Caenorhabditis elegans: one gene and its partners. The protein of the gene in region 1 interacts with the protein of each later gene in a pairwise test. Each region holds a gene or a part of one and is shown on either strand. Other genes may lie near its edges. The genes, in order: lgg-1, sepa-1 and allo-1.

Region 1 (4,743 bases):
TGTTTCGAATTCGAATTCGCCGTGTTCCCCATCACAGTCAAGTAATGATGGGGAAACCGATGAGATAACGAATACACCGTTCAAAAGGTAAAGGTCACGTTTTCGATCGAATTTTGCGATCAAATTGAAAAAAATAAGAAGAAGAAGAGATGGCAGAACATACACGTGATGAATTCAAAAAGGCAGAAAAATAGAAAAAAAAAGAGTATAAACACCACTTTATGAATAAAGCCATGCCAGTTTCTAATAGCAACGAAGGGAAAACAACGAGAAAATGGATAGAGGAAAAAGGGAAAAGGAGAAGGTGTAATTATAGAATCGATTTGACTGGGAAGCAGCGGCGACTCGTAGATTTACAATAGTAAGATGTAGAGAAACGAGACTCTTTTTTTAATCTCAAAAATATGTATTTAATTATACATCTTGAAAATTTTGCAGATTTTTTTAGAGTTAGCCTACAGTACTCGGTCTCGAAACGGCCAAAACTATTTAAATACCGTATCCGCAAGTATTTGTTTTTAATTTTTCATGATCTCCTACAATTTTCCAAAAATGTATCGGTTTTTCCTTTAAAAATGTGGAATTTTAAGTGAAACTATTACAACAGATACAGGTGAAAATTGCGAAACACTTTTGGGTGCGGTAGCTGAAAAGTTTCCATCGTGCCGAGACCGGCTACCGTATTTTCGCATTGAAAATCTCAAACTTCTGCAAATGGGTAGTACCAAAATTGTGTCTCGAAAATGATAAAATATGCCAGAATCGAATCAAAAATGATTCCTAAGTCAACGTTTGAGCCCTCTTATGACATTTTCAGACGATGACAACTAGAATAAACTGTCATTTGACAGATGACTAATGGATACAAAGAGCCTTTTTGCCAAAAGTGTGTCACCATTTTCGAAATAAAATTCTCATTTTTCTCTATACTTTGTTCAGAAATCTACAATGATGTTTACGTAATACAAATGTGACGTCAATTCTATACAGATGAAAAAGTGATTTCGCAATGTGTATTGCTAACTGTTGGAGGTATTCCATTCGCTGGCCGAAAATAACGATGAGCATGAACATGAATTTGTTTGTGTCTTCTTCGTTTATTCATGAATCAAAAATTTGAAAGTAATAGCAAAAAAATATCAAAATCCGAGAGAAAACATGATTTTCTGGGAGGGGAGAAGAGCAACTTCGTAGACAATAGTTTGAATAGAAGTCACTACTCGGAACCGTCATACGAGAAAAATGAGAAGAAAATGTGAAGGAAATACAGAATTATTACAGAAAATGAGAAGATTTTTTTAAAGGGGCTTTGGGTTTCCATTAGAAGTATGAAATTTCCATTGTACAAGTATACACATTCGTCGGCGGATAATACATGACACTTTATTCCTTCTTTTCGACCTCTCCTCCATACACACTTTCGTCACTGTAGGCGATGTAAAGGAACAAGTCTTCCTCGTGATGGTCCTGTAATAAAGAAAAGGGTTAATTAAATGAAAATAAACGACTGGTTAGTTACCTGGTAGAGTTGTCCCATTGTGGTCATGGTTTGTGGAATGACATTGTTGACAAAGAAGAACAGAGCATCTTCTGGACGAAGTTGGATGCGTTTTCTGATGAGGAAGTAGAACTGTCCAACAGTAAGATCGGATGGGACCAAGTACTTCTTCTTATCCAAGTCATGGAGCTTTGACTTTGGTGCTTTCTCAACAATCACTGGAATACGGTCTGGGTACTTTCTGCGGATCTTGTCTCCTTCGGCACGACGCTTCTCAAAGTTGTTCTCCTCCTTGTAAGCCCACTTCATTTTGATTCGAAGGTTAGTGTGAAGAGAAGGTTACTGGAATAAAAATACTTTAAATCACAGAAAAATCATAAAAGAACCATGAGAGAAGAAAGGTGTAACAAGTGAGAGTGAATGAAGGTGACATCACATGGGTTTTGAGAGATTGACCGATTCGATAACACATTGCGAAATCTATATAAAATTGACGACGAGTACTAGTAAGGCAAAAAGAGCATGAGCAAGAATGGCCCGTGTGCAAGTGAGAGAGGGAGTGTGCGCGCACATCGGTCATATGAGAGCGCGTAGACGCAGGAGACATCCTATTGATTTTCTATGTTTGTCTGGCCTGGTTTTGTTGAGATGCAGAGAAACAGGACAAGTACAATGCAGCTGTTTAGAGGTTGTCGGGGAAACTGTAATTCTGGGAAGACTGAAAGTCGATCGATATATTAGTAACATTTATCCAATATTCACTAGTATCCATAACCAGTTTCTACGAATATTCTTAGCGCATTGTTCCAAAAAATTGAATTCTGAAAGACTTTAGTAATCAACTATTAACTAGATTAATATGACCGTTCAATAAATAATTTTGGTATGATTTAGCAATATTTTTAGATAGAATTGTTAAACCGTACATTTAATAGTCAAACTTGTGAAACATTTCTTAATTTCAAATTTCAAATCTAAAAAAGATTTTGATTTGAAACCGGTTTTTTAAACAAACCAACTAAAATTACAAACTTTTAAATAAAAAAGTACTGTCGCTACCGACGTCGCCAGAAAGTGAAAGAAATGGCAGAAAGTCGCAAAGAAGAGCGAGAGGCAAGACTGAACACACCAAGACGAATGGCACTAGCTAGAAAGAGAGAGAGATGAGAGAGGGGCGGAGACGACGAGACACCACGACTCAACATCATGTGACTGTGTCATACGGCGGCGAAACGAGACAGCAGGCAGAGGAGAGCAAGAGAGTATAGGGAAACATTGGATGGTTTGAGAGAAGTAGAGCAGCATGGTGTAGAATCATCGGGGTTTCAGGTGCCGATCGACAGATTGTTTGTTCTTAGATTCTTTTGATAGGAAATTTTAAACGTTAGAAATGATCAAAAGTGATAAAAGGTTAGAATAACAACTAGACAACAGTTGGTATTGAGTATGTTTTGCTATTAAAGGAACATAATATGCTAAAACTAAACGAAATAAACGATATATAACTACTATATCCATACAATAATATGTAGGTGGAAAGTGCATTAGCGACATAATTCTAAAATAAAGAGTTGGAGCAATGAGAGCATCATCCACATTCACAGCTGTCACCGTGACGTAGAATGTAATGAACTAGAAGAGGGCATTCAAGACCAGCTGGTAAAACGCTAGAACTGACAATATAAAACAAATCAATTAAAAGATCTTAAAGACATTAGGGTGCACTCCATGTAATCGATCAGAAAGGCAAAAATATAAAAAGGAACAAGATAAAAATTTGCCGGAAGCAAACCGAGAAAAAATATTAAAAAAATAACCAAACAATAAACCAAAGGTTAAAAATTTATAGACAGTCAATAGTGACGAAATGTTTTACACGGACAGAAGTACAATAATCAGAATAAAGCTATAAATATAAATAAATAAAAAATGATAGCTAACATGGAGAAACAATAAAAATATGAAAAACGCTTTTTTCTTTGAACCGTAAACAACGAAAATCTAAAAATTGCCGAATAAGTTCGCTTGTAGCCCAGGATGGAACATTTGGAAACTTGCTACTACGAAACATCGAAATGTCAGAAAAAATAAAAGTAAAAAAGTTGTAAAAAATTATGATATGCCTAGGAAAAAGTTTGAAAACTCGTCGATATCCGCCTTTTTAATTGATTTAACAGAGATCAAATGTCGATTTACTGTCGCCTTGAAAGTGCACCAGTTCGAGAGAGATCTGTAAAAATTAGTTATGAGACTTGATCTGCAATATGACAAACTTACAACTTGCTAGCTGTAACATATCATCAGGTTTGAACTTCGAAATGTCTGGAGCACTGAAATTGGAATATTACATATCCACGATAAAATCTTTTCAAACCCACCTTGAAGTGCTTGGCATTGGTTTGTTAATCCTGATAATGGCTTCTTGTGCTGCGCCGACAAGCATATTCATTGATTGTGTTAACGGCATATTGTACTTCGCGATCAATTCCTGAACATCGTCAACAAGCCCCTCAGGTAACTGGCTGGTTTTGGCCTTTTTCCAATGATCTTCTAATGGAAATTCGTACTTTCTCTTCCTGTCGGCACTACCATTTGCTACAGGTTTAGGAAGTGATCGATTCGAATCATCAAGAATAATAGTATCATCACGTTCAACAACTTGAATCTCTTCATCGCTATCTTCCTCACTATTTGAATACGTTCTTGGCTCATCACTGTCTTCTCTGTCATCATCATCCACATCGACACCATCATTATCATCATCATCGTCAATTTCTACTACACTGTCGGATCCACGACTTCGAGCAGAACCAGCACCTGCTGAAGATGTCGTTAATTCTGCCCATGGAATACCAGCGATTGGTAATTCTGTAAAAATTTAACTTTTTGAAGAGCCGATCTGAAAAATCTTACGTGACGGCACCGGGAGCGGAGCTGGCCTGAACGGATTCGTAGCATTAGGGCCAAGACGAAGAGGAGCCTGAAAGTAGATGTCATCGTCCTGGTCGGTGTCAGATGATGAGGCAGGATAATGCTACAATGTAAACTTACACTCAACAGGTCATAAAGGGGCGGCAAACTCACTTGCGGTTGTCCTCGATACATGTGTCCCATGGTAGATCCTGAAAATTTTATTTTGAAGTTTTAAATTAAAATAATATTTTAAAAGCATATTATGATAAAAAATTAAATACCAAAAACTCGGTCGAATGGTGTAAAAACCGGGAATCGGCGCGACCTGTGGT
Region 2 (6,565 bases), on another chromosome or scaffold:
CTATTCCAATTATTCATCACTAATAATTTATTATTCCTCTTATTTCTCCATTTCAATCAAATATCTCTAAATATCTTGAAATTTCCAAGTTTCTATAGTTATTTGCTCTTCATGTCTAACGTTTTCTTTCTCCCCACTCTTCTAGTACATGTAATCCATTCTATCATCTCAAAAAAAAAGAATCCTAAGATTTTTTTAGAATTACCTTCTTATTTTGCTCCAATTGCTCTAAAATATCGTGTGTAGCCTCCTTTTGGGTATGTTCAGACTGGAAATTAGCTATTTTCAGCCTTAAAATGCCCCAATTTCGTCTTTTTTTCTTCATTACCCACATGATTAGTCCCAAGAATTCTCGTCCCTCTTTCTCTCGCTTTCTTGTTTTTTTCTGTTTTATTTAAAAATCGCATACACATCGACTGATTCAAGAATTTAATTTTGATTTCATGAAAATTATGATAATAAACGTTGCATTTTCAGAAATTGTTTTTTTTTTGGTTGCAGTTTTTGATTTCATAAGTGTGAGAGGGCGAAATGCTGACTTAAAATGCTGACATGACATAAATAAAAAAGTCTGAAATAAAAAACAAAAACGTAAGCCCAATGCGGGGCTCGAACCCGCGACAACCAGATTAAGAGTCTGGTGCTCTACCGACTGAGCTAACCGGGCGCCAATCTCACCCGCTGCAAAGGTTGTATAGAAGCAGACGCACGCAGTGTCAGTTTTATAGTCCCGTACGCGCGCCCACATTTTGTCGGTACACGCGTTAAGTGGCCTTCTCGTCATTTTCTATCAAATTTGGTTTTAACCCAGTTACCAAGGTAATTCGGAGTTTCGATCTTTCGAAAGAGAGTGTCGATTGTGAACAATTTTTGGAATAGCTCTTCCGGGGAATCCGGTCGGGCAATATTTTAAAAGGATTATTATTGTGAAGGTGATTCCGATCAGGGCTGGGATTATTTAAAAAACGAACATGAAAGTTTTTTTTTAAAAGATGAAAAACGAAAAAGTTAGTTTTGCAAATTTACAACTGGAATTACGATTTTTTAGTTACATGTTTCTTCAAGGTTTCATTGTTCCGAAAATGATTCGCCCAACGCCAAATTCGGGTGCAATTAAAAGAAAAATACTTATCAATTTAATATTTATTTGGGATAAAGCACGCATTCATTACAGGATATAAGCAAAAGCAAGAGATATAAAAGAAAATGAATGTGAACTGATTTAGTTTTTCTCGTGATTTTTGGCAAGTTCATCGGAGCTTTGTGTTGGTTGTTGGTCTGAAAATAAATATCGATATTTGAAGCATTAATCTTAAAATTCTTAAAATGGGAATAACAGGAGTTGAGACATTTTTGTCAGTTTAGGCTAGCCTTCAATTATTTCAAATTTTTTTAAAATTATTAAAAGCAAATTATCATATTAAAAAATTAATAGCAACTTACGGTTATGTTCAGTGGCTCGTTGGTCTTTTTTTAAAGTTTTCTTGAGAATCTGGTCAACTGTTAATTGCATCAAACGATAGTATTCATCTCGGTCATTCGATGCTTCCAAAATCTCCGTTTCACATTTTCTGGCATTGGCGATCAACTTTTTAAACAGTTCACCATTCATCTCTTCTACATTCTGGATTCTTGGCCAGAACGCTTTCAACAATTTTCCAACCATGTGATTTCGGATGTCTTCAACGATCCATTCCTTTGATGTGTTTGTCCCGAACAAGAAAGAACCATTGTACCCTTCAAATATATCAATTTTAGGTGTTTCTTCGTTTGAGATTTGATTAGTGTTCTCGGCCAGAGCAGGTGAAGCAGGTGCTGAAAATTTTCAAAGGTTTAGGTGATTTTTGTACTTTCACAGTAAGCCTACAGTACCCCTTAACCTATTTCCAAAAGAAATACGGGTAATAGCTACAGAAATAAAGTTTTTGAAAAGCATACATACCTTCAACTTGAGCAGCTTCTTCCGAAGGCACTGAGCTTGAGACGACTTGTTTCTTTCCGGCTCTTTCCATTCTTCGTTTCTCCAACTCGTCAATTTGAGCATTAATTTTGTTCAGCCGACTCTTGAGCTCTCTCCGCTTTTTCTTCTTGTCCATTGCTGCAACATCCGGCTCATAGGTGACATTCTTCACAGGCTCTGGTTCGTTGGCGTCCTGATGCTTCGATTCTGCTTCTTTTTCCAATAAGCCCTCAGACATCGTATCGTCCAATTCCTGATACCCATATGTATTTCCACCTTCAGAAGCAGCTGTAGTCGGCTCTTCGGGATCCTTCGCAATTTGGAGCTTCTCGAGATTCTTCACTATATTCTCTTCCGTCTCAGCTGATTCCACTCTAGGCGCCTTTCTGGGAATCTCTTGATCCTGTGTCAATCCAAGTTCCTTTCTCAAGTCACAATTAAAAGATTCAACCATCGCTAACACGGTTTCCATTATATCTTCGCCCTCCGTCTGAACTGGATGTTGTGGCTCGACTCGCTCCGTGCTAGCCTTCTTCTTTTCGAATTCAGTTTTCATCTCAACCCATTGAACTTGGAATGTTTTCACCGCAACTGGCTGCATCTTCTCGAAGCCTCCACTTCCAGATGTTTCTTTCTGAAGTCTTCCATCACGACCTCTCATGATCATATACACCTTGCGATTGTCTATATTTTCCGCCATAAACAAGTTCAGCCCACTGGTGATCTTTTTCGGATCATAAACTAGATTGCGTTTAACTTGAACGAATCCAAATGTACGGACATCATAGATGTACTGCTCGATTTGATTATTCTCGGTGTTATGAACATGAATCACCAATTCGGATGCATTACGCTCCACATACAATGGAATAAGGTTCGATTCGGTGACTTCACATGTGCAAAGAGTGCAGGAAATCTTCTGGAAGTCGCCTGTTTCGTCAATGTACTCGAGTCTTGTGTAATCCCCGCTAGTCTTTGAATAGACGCATAGAAATTCTTTGTTCAAATGCAGACATTGACGAACTTGGAATCGTGGGAGATTCTTCTGATACTCTGCGTAGAGTCTATCAAAGCTCTCATTACCTGATGAAATCTTGACTTCATCAGAATTCGCGGCTCTATCCCACCTATCACGTTCCAGATCTTGAAGCGTCAGAGTCCTTAAAGCAGCTGTTGGAAGAGTTCGGAACTGTCCATAACTTGTAGATTCCTTACTGAGAAGACCACGGCAATCTCTTTCAATCACGACCAGCTCGCCTTCAGGACCATTTAGAGCAACCACAACGTTTCCTTTAACAAGAAACGCCGGATTGTACTTAATCTCGGGACGATTCACTTCAACAAAGCAATCCGTCTTGAAAGCGTAGATAAACTGCTCCATCTTCCCGGTCATTGTATTATACCCGAAGAGCACGAAATCTTCGAGTAGGTCACTGTAGACAGCGTAGTACGGAGAAATGTGCTTCTCGGTGAGAATTGGTTGGCATATGAGGCATTTGTGAGGGATCAAATCACCAGCATCCGTTTTCTCATAGCAAAAGCGTTGTCTGTTTGGGCGAAGAACACTGACCACGTGGATAGCAGTGGCAGGGCACTTTCCGAGTGCAAACTTCGGTGGAGGTGAAGGCGCTGGATTGGAGGTAAGAGCAGAAAGAGGTGTCATCTTGGAGATTTTTCTGGAATTAAGGTGTAGTTAGATTAAGAATAATTGAAAACGTATACAAATGCAATAAAAAAGTGATAAGTGAAATTACCAGGCGCGATTAAAAATAGGAGTTTAAAGGAAATTTAGAAGTATAAGAACCACTGCAAAAAATCAAAAATGAAAAAGTAGTGAGCAAAAAGTGTTGTAGGAGTTAATACAAAACGACGAGTGCAACAGGACATATAAACGTATCAAGTAAAGTTTATCGATTGGTAAATGCTCCCGCCAACTCCGCGTACAGAACACCTGGGAATAAGCAATCAATACAGATTGTTGTATAATACTAGGCGGGAAGATGCACAAATTTTGTGGGCTAGAATTTAGGTAAGGCTACTGCTAGGGCTGAAAATTAAATAAAATGAATCGAAAATATGAATCTCGTAAATCCACAAGTGCGGTACGGTTTTTATGGGCGATGCCTTTTCTGACGAAAATTTCGGCGTTAAATAGGATTTTGGGATTTTAATAAATTAATATAAAATCACGGAAATTTTTTATATTTTTTTCACATCGATATTTGGTATCAGGGGCATAAATAGCGTCTTTAGTCCTCCTTTGTGTTAAAATCAAGTTTTGAATAAAACCATCAAAGTACAACTGATATTTTTTGTCCAATTTTTGGTAAAACCACAAGTAACTACAAGATACACTTTTAGAAAAGGGAACTACGGACATATCAATTTCAAGAATACATCATATTTGAAAAAGGCAAAAAGGAAACAAATACTGTAGTTCATAGCCGAGAACAAAAAAATGGAAACAGGAGCTCTAGAGACTGACTAGAGAAAAGAAAAACGACCTACTAGAGGCGATGCAGGCAGACTGAATGATGTCTTCTGCTCTTCAAGACAACTCAGAGCATCTGGAGCAAACGCTGCAACCAATTTAAATCGATACTCAGCTCTTGGGATACCAGATTCGGGAAAGAGGTGGGAATTGGCAGATGTTTTTATCGACTGATGTAAGATTGAGACGACTACCAGGAGAAGATCTACAAACGAATGTAGTATATTGATGGTTTTTAACAAAATTTCTGGGAACTGATTTTACAGATATGGTAAATCTCAACATGTTACGGCTGCTGATCTAATAGAAAGAATTATCGGCAATCTGAACAGAAAAGTATCCAAGATATGGGCGGAGCATGAACTGAATATGGCACCGCCCATATCTTGGCTACATGTACTTCTCACATTTCTTCATAAATTTCTCCTATACTCCCATTATTAAGACAAAGCAAGGTCAGCTTAAATTCCCAGACACTGAGCAAGGACGCGATCCACCTGAGAGTAATTCGACCAGGGGTGGACGGCAAATGATTTTTTGCCGGAATTTGCAAATTGGCGGAAATGAAAATTTCCGGCAAATCGGCAAATTGCCGGAATTGAAAAGTTCCGGCAAATCAGCAAACCGGCAAATTGACGCTTTGCCAAATTTGCCAGAAAAACGGGCAAATTGTGGTTTTGCACATTTTTTTTGGAAATTTCAGAATTTCGATTTCACTCAGCAGACTTTTACGCATCCTATGAATGTTCCTACATCTATTTTTAAAAATAAGCAAACTCTATGAATATATCTAAAGAAAACGGAATAAAATTTCAAAAAGGCACAGTTTTAAGTGCTTCTGTCATATAAAAAGCCCCTCTAAACACTTCCGGCAATTGGCAAACCGGCAAACCTCCGGAATTGAAAACTTCCGGCAAATCGGTAAACCGGCAAATTGCCGGAATTCAAAACTTCCGGCAAATCGGCATCTTGCCGCTTTGCCGAGTTTGTCGACAAAAAAATTTGCCGAACGGCAATTGCCGCCCACCCTTGAATTGGACTACAAATGTGGACAGAAGATTCATAGAATCAGAGAAAATTACATCCATTTGCCGGATTTCTTTTGGAAACGTGCCCCATTTTAATTTGCCTCAAAGAGAACCTGGCAATCCCATTCTAAAAGACTATGACGTCAAGCAAGATTTTCAGCAATGATTTTTTTCCCGCCGTTTCTAAAGGCACACAAATTTACAGTTGTCTTTTATTTATGGAACATCGGGAAGAAAAATGAGACCGCAAGACAAAATAAAATAAAAAAATATGCAATTTAACAAAAAAAACTAATTTTAATCCAAATCCTCAAATCTGTTCCAATTCCTTCTGAACATATGGTGGCAACGATCCGCCGTAGAGAGTTGTCAGGCTTTCCACGAATTTTTGTTTGAGAATTGACATGCCATCGTCTGAAATGAGTATATTTTTAGAAAAATGAATAATAGTATGGATTAAGTGTTAAGGGTTACCTGGGGCATCCTCCGGAATATCTGGAGAAGTTGAGCAAGATGGGCCATCAGAAAACGGATCATCACAAAGACGGATCTTCTCGACCAAGACATCCAACTCTTGAGATTCTTTGGATGCCTTCTTCTTGGACTTCTTGATCTTTTTGGCCTTCTTCTTCTTGTCCATCTTCTGCTTCTTCTCCATAAACTGAGTATCAAAACTCTTGATCACCGAATTGGGAACCTCCACGAAATGTTTTTTGATCGAGCAATATACCTCCTTCTTCAGTCTTCCTTGTGCACCCCTCATGATCACTGTTGTCCCTTTGAGAACGAAGAAGATGCTCGAAGTCGGATCCTGATCCTTCGATGAGTCATACTTCAGCTCTGGCTGATTCACTTCAACAAATCCCTGAATCTTCGAGTCGAAGACATATTGCTCCATGCGATCTGTGAAGGAGTTGAAGACGTGAATCACATAAGCCTGAATCTCTTCGCAAAACTCTGCATACTTGGGGAGAAGATCCACTTCTCTGGTTGTATCCGGACACTTCTCACAGTCGAGGATCTCGAATTGACTGGTGCTCTGATTGTATATGTACTTTTCATAATGACCACGGCTGGTGATAATGT
Region 3 (5,933 bases), on another chromosome or scaffold:
GGTATCAAATTAGTGTTGAATCCATGTAACTTTGCCTTGCAATTTAATTCAAAACTCATTCACCAAATTTTCCGAAGTTTGTCGAATAAAAAATTAATTAAATTTGCAGATCGATGGTGAAACGTTCGTTCGATATTGAATACGATCTAGTCCGAAACGAAATAATCCGCGCTGAAGTGAAAGCAAATGAAGAGCTCGTATAACAGATCCTCAAATGATTCCTTGTACTTTTGTCCTCAAAAACCAAATACTACCTCATACTTCATGATCTCTCATTCCTTAGCAGCTTTCTTCCAAAAACTGTAAAGCAACTACTTCCGACCGCGATTAATTTGAAATCCGAAATCCGAAATCCTAAACGAAGAGATGCGAAATAAAAAGAAAATTGGTGGCGCTCCAGGCAATTGTCACACTCGGACACCGGATCCTCCGAGACGTTCAACTAATCCGCTCGACACTGCTTCTAGTCATACTTAAACCGTTTTGTTTTCTATATTTACTACTATTCTACTTCATTTTTCATCTTTTCAGAAATATGAATCTGATCTTTTTACTATTCACTTTTCCCATCTTCGTAGACAATTTTTTGTTTGGTTTCGGTAAGTTTGAACTATTTGAAATTCCAATTATTATGTGGAGTTATTAATGAAATACATATGAAGTAAGCTTGACTTTATTTTTTACTAATTGGTTCGAAAAAAACGACTAATATCCTTTATCATGATTAGAAACCGCAATCGTTCTCGATGTTGGCAGGAAATGAAGGTTGGAAAAAAAAATTAATCGCGGTATCTTTTTAAACATAATATAGACATAAACTTTGATCTTATTACCGTGCAAAATCACAAAATTTTGTTCGGTAACGATTTCTGATGATTTTTAGAACATTGATAAGATTTTGATAAGACATCAGACAATTACGTGAGTTTCATGAGAAATGGATACCAGAGACAATCTTGTCGACATCTCAATATGTTTCTTAAAATTTACACGAAAACCTTGACATCGGGTGGCAACATATTGCCCAATTTTGGAACAAAAATATTTACTTGCTAAAAACAAAAGTTAGGCAACACTCGAAAGGAAACAACGATTTTAAGTAACAGATACATTTTCTTGTACCTCAATTTTTATTATTAGCAAAATAAAGTTCTTTATGATATATGACGTATGTAAGATGTAGGAACAAACAATTAATTCCCAGAAGCCTGTAATTTATTTTAACGGACTAGAAATTTTCCAACACTTTTTCCTTTACTTATCTCATACTATTCAGGAGGCGGTGGCGGATGCGGATGTGGAAGTTCCTGTGGTGGATGTAACATGGGATGCTCCTGCCTACCACCTCCCCCTTCTCCAGTATGTATGCCACCTCCACCTCCACCGTGCCCGATGCCAATCCCGTGTCCACCTCCTCCGCCTGCCTGCTCGTGCCCGCCACCGGTAACCATGTATCAGGTAATTTTACTGTAAAATTTGCCTAATTTCATTGTTGTTATATCTTTTCAGCCCTGTATGGTTCCTCAATACGTTCCTCGATGCAGTGGTGGATGCGGAGGGTGTGGTGGTGGATACGGTGGCGGTTACGGTGGTGGGTGTGGTCGAAGAAGACGTGCGATCAACAATCAGACGATACATTGATATGTACAATGGTTTTTGCTTATATAACATCTTTTCTTTCAGTCATAACACAAATAGTACAAAAATAAAATGTTAAACATTCAAAAGTTACAGAATGAAGTTCCTAGAATCTAGTACGACGTGGATTCTGTAATAATTTTCAAATAAAATGCTTATAACGAGTGTTCTGTAAAATATGAGCCTTGTGGATTCTGAGGTCCTGAAACGACAAATAAAATGTTGAACTGGGGCTTGCGCTTTCAAAGAGGAATGCAGCTGTATATGTAGTTAATGGTGGTCTATTTCAATATTTTGCACAGTGTTTCACAAGTTTAAAAAATGCGTACCTAAAGACGCACCGAGATTTGGATCTCGCCTCAAGACAAAGTTTATGTTTTTTTTTTCCAATTTACCGGGAATCATAATAAATATTTTCTCGTGACGAATTTCAATCCGCATTGAAGTTTCAGAAAACTGCGACATTAGTCATCAATATTTAGTGTACCCTTTAAAATCTCAGCTACAATAAATTCTTCATTTTTCGGAATCGATTGGAAAAGGGTATTTAGAATTTCAGAAATCTTTTTTTTAAAGCTATATTTAAAAAAAAAAAATAAAAATTCCTAACCAATTATTGATATTAATGGAGAAAAACGCACCGAAAACGGTCAAATTTGAAAAACCGCGAAAAACGAATTTTGTCTGCCTGCCTGCGTCTCTTCAATTCCTCCAGTGTCTCGTCTTCCTCAAAACAACCAGACGAGAGCGCTCATTTCGCCATTTTTTGTGTTACAGGCTGCATTTCTTCCTATTCCTTATTTTTGCTTCATTTTTTCGTTTTTTCAAGTCAAATTGATTGACAGAATTTACAATTGTAGAAATGAAAATTGAATTTTTAACGAAACGCCGACACAAATCTGAAAATTTGTTGGAAAATGTTATAATTTCTTCGCTTCTTCTGAACGCATGATTTCCCAACAATTTTAATTGCATTCCTATCCATCTATTAGCAATATAGTTTTTTCTTAACAAGTCGACTCTGGAAAATATCAAAAAATTCCTAACGACCTTCAAAAACGACATTTCCCACTGGTCACTGCGACCCGCATCAGCTGTTTTCCAATTCGAACATTTTATGCCTGCGTCTCCAAGAGCTGCTGATTCATTCTCTGGCAAACACATGATTCCTCGAGTCGTTTTTACACTGAGACGTAGAAGACAGACGACCTAGAATGTTTCGAAATCACACTCTAACTCTCTCAATGATTTTACTCTCCTTTATATATTGCTAGCAGTAACCAGTGCTTAGTGTTTGCATTCTCGATCATACGACCTCACTCTTCTCATATATTTTTCTCATTTTTCAACTCGAGATTTTGTTATTATCACTCACTAAGTAATATTTTTCAGAGAATGAACGATCCGCTTGACTCCCTCTCGAATGACGAATTCGAGATAATCGAGACTTTTGACCGTAAGTTTTTATTTTATTTTAAAAAAAGGACCTAAAAATTCAAGCTCCCAAGCTAACCCAATGAGAAAATATAACTTTTGTCTAGAAATAAATTGTTTGCATCATGATTTCGAAATTTCTTCGCATTTTTTGAAATTATGGGTCAACTTTCTGAAATCGATTTATTTGTTATTTCACAATCGAGGATTTTTAAAAATTCAAAAAAAAATTCCAGCTGAAACAGAAGATCGTGAGGATCAATGGAGTATTCAGCAGAGTATCCGAATCGAGCCAATTTCAATCCAGATGCCGAATACACTTCAATCACAGCGCGCTCCATCTCCTGTCGGATCGAAGGCCCCGGAGTCGTTGAAAGACGAAGATCCAGATCGTACACCTGAAGCATCAATCGTTGAAACACCGCTCCTTACCGAAACTTTGAAGGAAGATCGTACTCCAATGTCAACTCCTCTCGCGTCTCTTGTCAATTCGAGTCAATCTCCTGAATTCACTCTTCAGAATATGTCTATTGTGTCCGAGTCTGAATGTTCCAGTTAGTTTTAAACCAAAACTTATCATAAATTATTTATTTGACCAAGTAAATTCCAGATAATTCCTCTCTTGTGAACGTGGCGGACGTTGAATCAACAGAAATCGCTTTGAGAACATCACTTCTTCTTGTGAGCGAGCTGAAATCTCAACTTCAAGCTGCAAAAATGTCTGAATCCACTCTTCTGAAATCAAATTCAAACCATGAAATTGAAGAAAACAAGAAACTATCTGAGAAAATGGAAGTTATGAAGAACGAGTTCGAATTGAAGATGCAAGAATCAGCTGCTAGCGTAGAGAAAGTTATCCAGGAGAAAGACTCGGCTATCGAGCAGCTCAAAGTGCAATTGGCTCAGAGCCAACAGGTGGCCGAGCTGTGGAAGCAGGGAGCCGAGAAAAACAGCAACGCTCAGTACAGTGACTCGAAGACTACTATTGATAGACTTTTGGAGGAGAACTCGAAATTGAGAAATCTGGTTGATGAAGAGGTTGCTCGCCGGCTCGAAGAATCTGAGCGTCGCAAGCTGGCGGAGGATCAGTTGAAACATGCAAGAGGAGGCTCTGTCTTTGATCCACCAGCCTCTTTTGTTGCATCGCAGTTGGCGGAAAGAACCACATATTCATTGAATCTGGAACATGAGCTTATCACTCTGAGAAAAGAATTGGAGGAAACTAAAGAAGCACTGAAGAAATCTGTAGAAGAGTCGAGCAACAAGGATGAGATAGTTAGTGCTCTGCATGAGGTGCGGTTTTGATAACTTTTTTTTAAATTAGTTAACCATAGAAACCGTTCAAGCGGTCATTGCTATCTTAAATTTTTAATTTAGTGCTAAAACAACGTTGTTTTTCAACGACAAACATAAGATTTCATTTAACAATTTTTTGCAAAAAATACCAGCTTGCAGGACCAACAGGAGAGCACCCGCATGCTCGCTTCGAACGAGCAGGTGATCAACAGTCTGAAGCAGAAATGTCGTCAACTTGGAGTGCTGGAAGACTTCTCGAGCTAAGCCGTCAAATTGTTCATTTTATCTCCCACCAATAATTCTCATTTATCACGCCACATTGTGTACATTCAATACTTTTAAATTCTTGTTTTCATGATTTGTTCTATTTTGTATATTATCTTGCAAAACCCGTGTCAATAAAAATTATGATGTAGAAAAAATTCTAATCATTTCTCAGCAATTACTCGAATTTAGTCGGTAGTTTATTGGTAAATTGAAATGAAAAAAATAATTTAATAATTGCAGGTTTTTGTAAAAGATGTACTCTTTGCTCACACGACGGGTTATAGTATTAGGAAATGGTGAGTGAAAACAATAACGATACAAACGTACATATATTCAAGATCTAACGATTCGAGAAAATTCATAATGAAATTTAACTGAGAGATAATCGATCTATTTTTGCGCCAAAAATACGGTACTCTGTATCGACACGACATTTTTTTGTTAAAAGCAAACGGGGGTGCACCTTTAAAGTGTACTGTAATTTCAAACTTCCGATGCTGTGGAATTTTTTAATTTTAATCGATTTTTCAGAGTTGTTATTGCGACTTGTTATATTGTATGTATTGTTAATTGTTTAGTTTTAGTTTTTTTTTCAAATAAATAAATGCATTTTGAACGAAACAATTCGGAGAAATTTTCGCACCAACAAAAGTTTTATAAATACAGTACTCTTTAAAGGCGCGCACAATTTTTTAGTTTACAAAACTTTTTCGCGTCGAGACCGGGAAATGTTTTTAGCGCGAAAATTGCGAAATTTTGCGTCTGGCTAATATGGAAGTTTTTACAAATGATCAAGGTTAAAAATAATAAAAACTACAATCAAGGTTGTCAATTCCCGTGTCCCGTTTGTCCCGTTGTCCCGATTTTGGGGTGTTTCCACGGGAACGGGAATTCCCATTGTCCCGTTTTTAAAATTTTCACGGGAACGAGAATTCCCGCTGTCCCGTTTTTGTCATTGTTACGGGACACTGACACCCTTGACTACAATTACAATGTTTGATCTGTGTTATCATGCTCTCATTTTCATATCGGTATTTCAATTACATAATTTCATCGACACTATTGAAACGATTGTCATGATTTCTGCCTACTGATGATATCTAGACACTTCACTGTATTAACAGCACTCAACTTGCAAACCAAGATCAAAAGTTAGCATTTTGTATATAGTCCTCCGCTTTTCTACGTACTTCCTTTCTCCAAATATCATCTAAACCTTCAAAAACATATTGATAACTTCTATATCATTATTTTTTTTCTATTACTTAAGAAAGAAGTTGTATATTTCATTCGAGAAA

The links.
Region 2: the proteins of lgg-1 (region 1) and sepa-1 interact in binary tests that used the Caenorhabditis elegans proteins (3 or more experiments, as listed by UniProt).
Region 3: the proteins of lgg-1 (region 1) and allo-1 interact in a two-hybrid assay, tested with the Caenorhabditis elegans proteins (2 studies listed by BioGRID).

What each region holds. Positions count from the first base shown.
Region 1 is NC_003280.10:6,345,880-6,350,622, forward strand, and holds lgg-1 (Protein lgg-1), read right to left. Parts: upstream 1,841-4,743; 5' UTR 1,808-1,840; coding exon 1,520-1,807; intron 1,468-1,519; coding exon 1,384-1,467; 3' UTR 1,081-1,383; downstream 1-1,080. Other genes in the region: C32D5.8 (protein-disulfide reductase), read right to left, coding at 1-32; putative RING finger protein C32D5.10, read right to left, coding at 3,691-3,728, 3,776-3,828, 3,877-4,366, 4,412-4,478, 4,583-4,620, 4,693-4,743. UniProt on the Caenorhabditis elegans protein: Ubiquitin-like modifier involved in the formation of autophagosomal vacuoles (autophagosomes). When lipidated mediates tethering between adjacent membranes and stimulates membrane fusion during autophagy. Recruits lipidated-lgg-2 to maturing autophagosomes.
Region 2 is NC_003279.8:13,297,079-13,303,643, forward strand, and holds sepa-1 (Protein sepa-1), read right to left. Parts: upstream 3,639-6,565; 5' UTR 3,624-3,638; coding exon 1,943-3,623; intron 1,816-1,942; coding exon 1,444-1,815; intron 1,279-1,443; coding exon 1,223-1,278; 3' UTR 1,126-1,222; downstream 1-1,125. Other genes in the region: T04D3.1 (NTF2 domain-containing protein), read right to left, coding at 5,790-5,893, 5,954-6,565. UniProt on the Caenorhabditis elegans protein: Adapter protein that connects P-granules in somatic cells with the autophagic machinery.
Region 3 is NC_003282.8:10,694,169-10,700,101, reverse strand, and holds allo-1 (Allophagy receptor allo-1), read left to right. Parts: upstream 1-3,029; 5' UTR 3,030-3,033; coding exon 3,034-3,094; intron 3,095-3,308; coding exon 3,309-3,626; intron 3,627-3,682; coding exon 3,683-4,365; intron 4,366-4,520; coding exon 4,521-4,667; 3' UTR 4,668-4,796; downstream 4,797-5,933. Other genes in the region: R102.6 (MARVEL domain-containing protein), read left to right, coding at 110-203; R102.11 (uncharacterized protein), read left to right, coding at 536-599, 1,277-1,458, 1,510-1,641; R102.4 (Beta_elim_lyase domain-containing protein), read left to right, coding at 5,729-5,786. UniProt on the Caenorhabditis elegans protein: Autophagy receptor, which is required for allophagy, an autophagic process in which paternal organelles, including mitochondria and membranous organelles, are degraded in early embryos.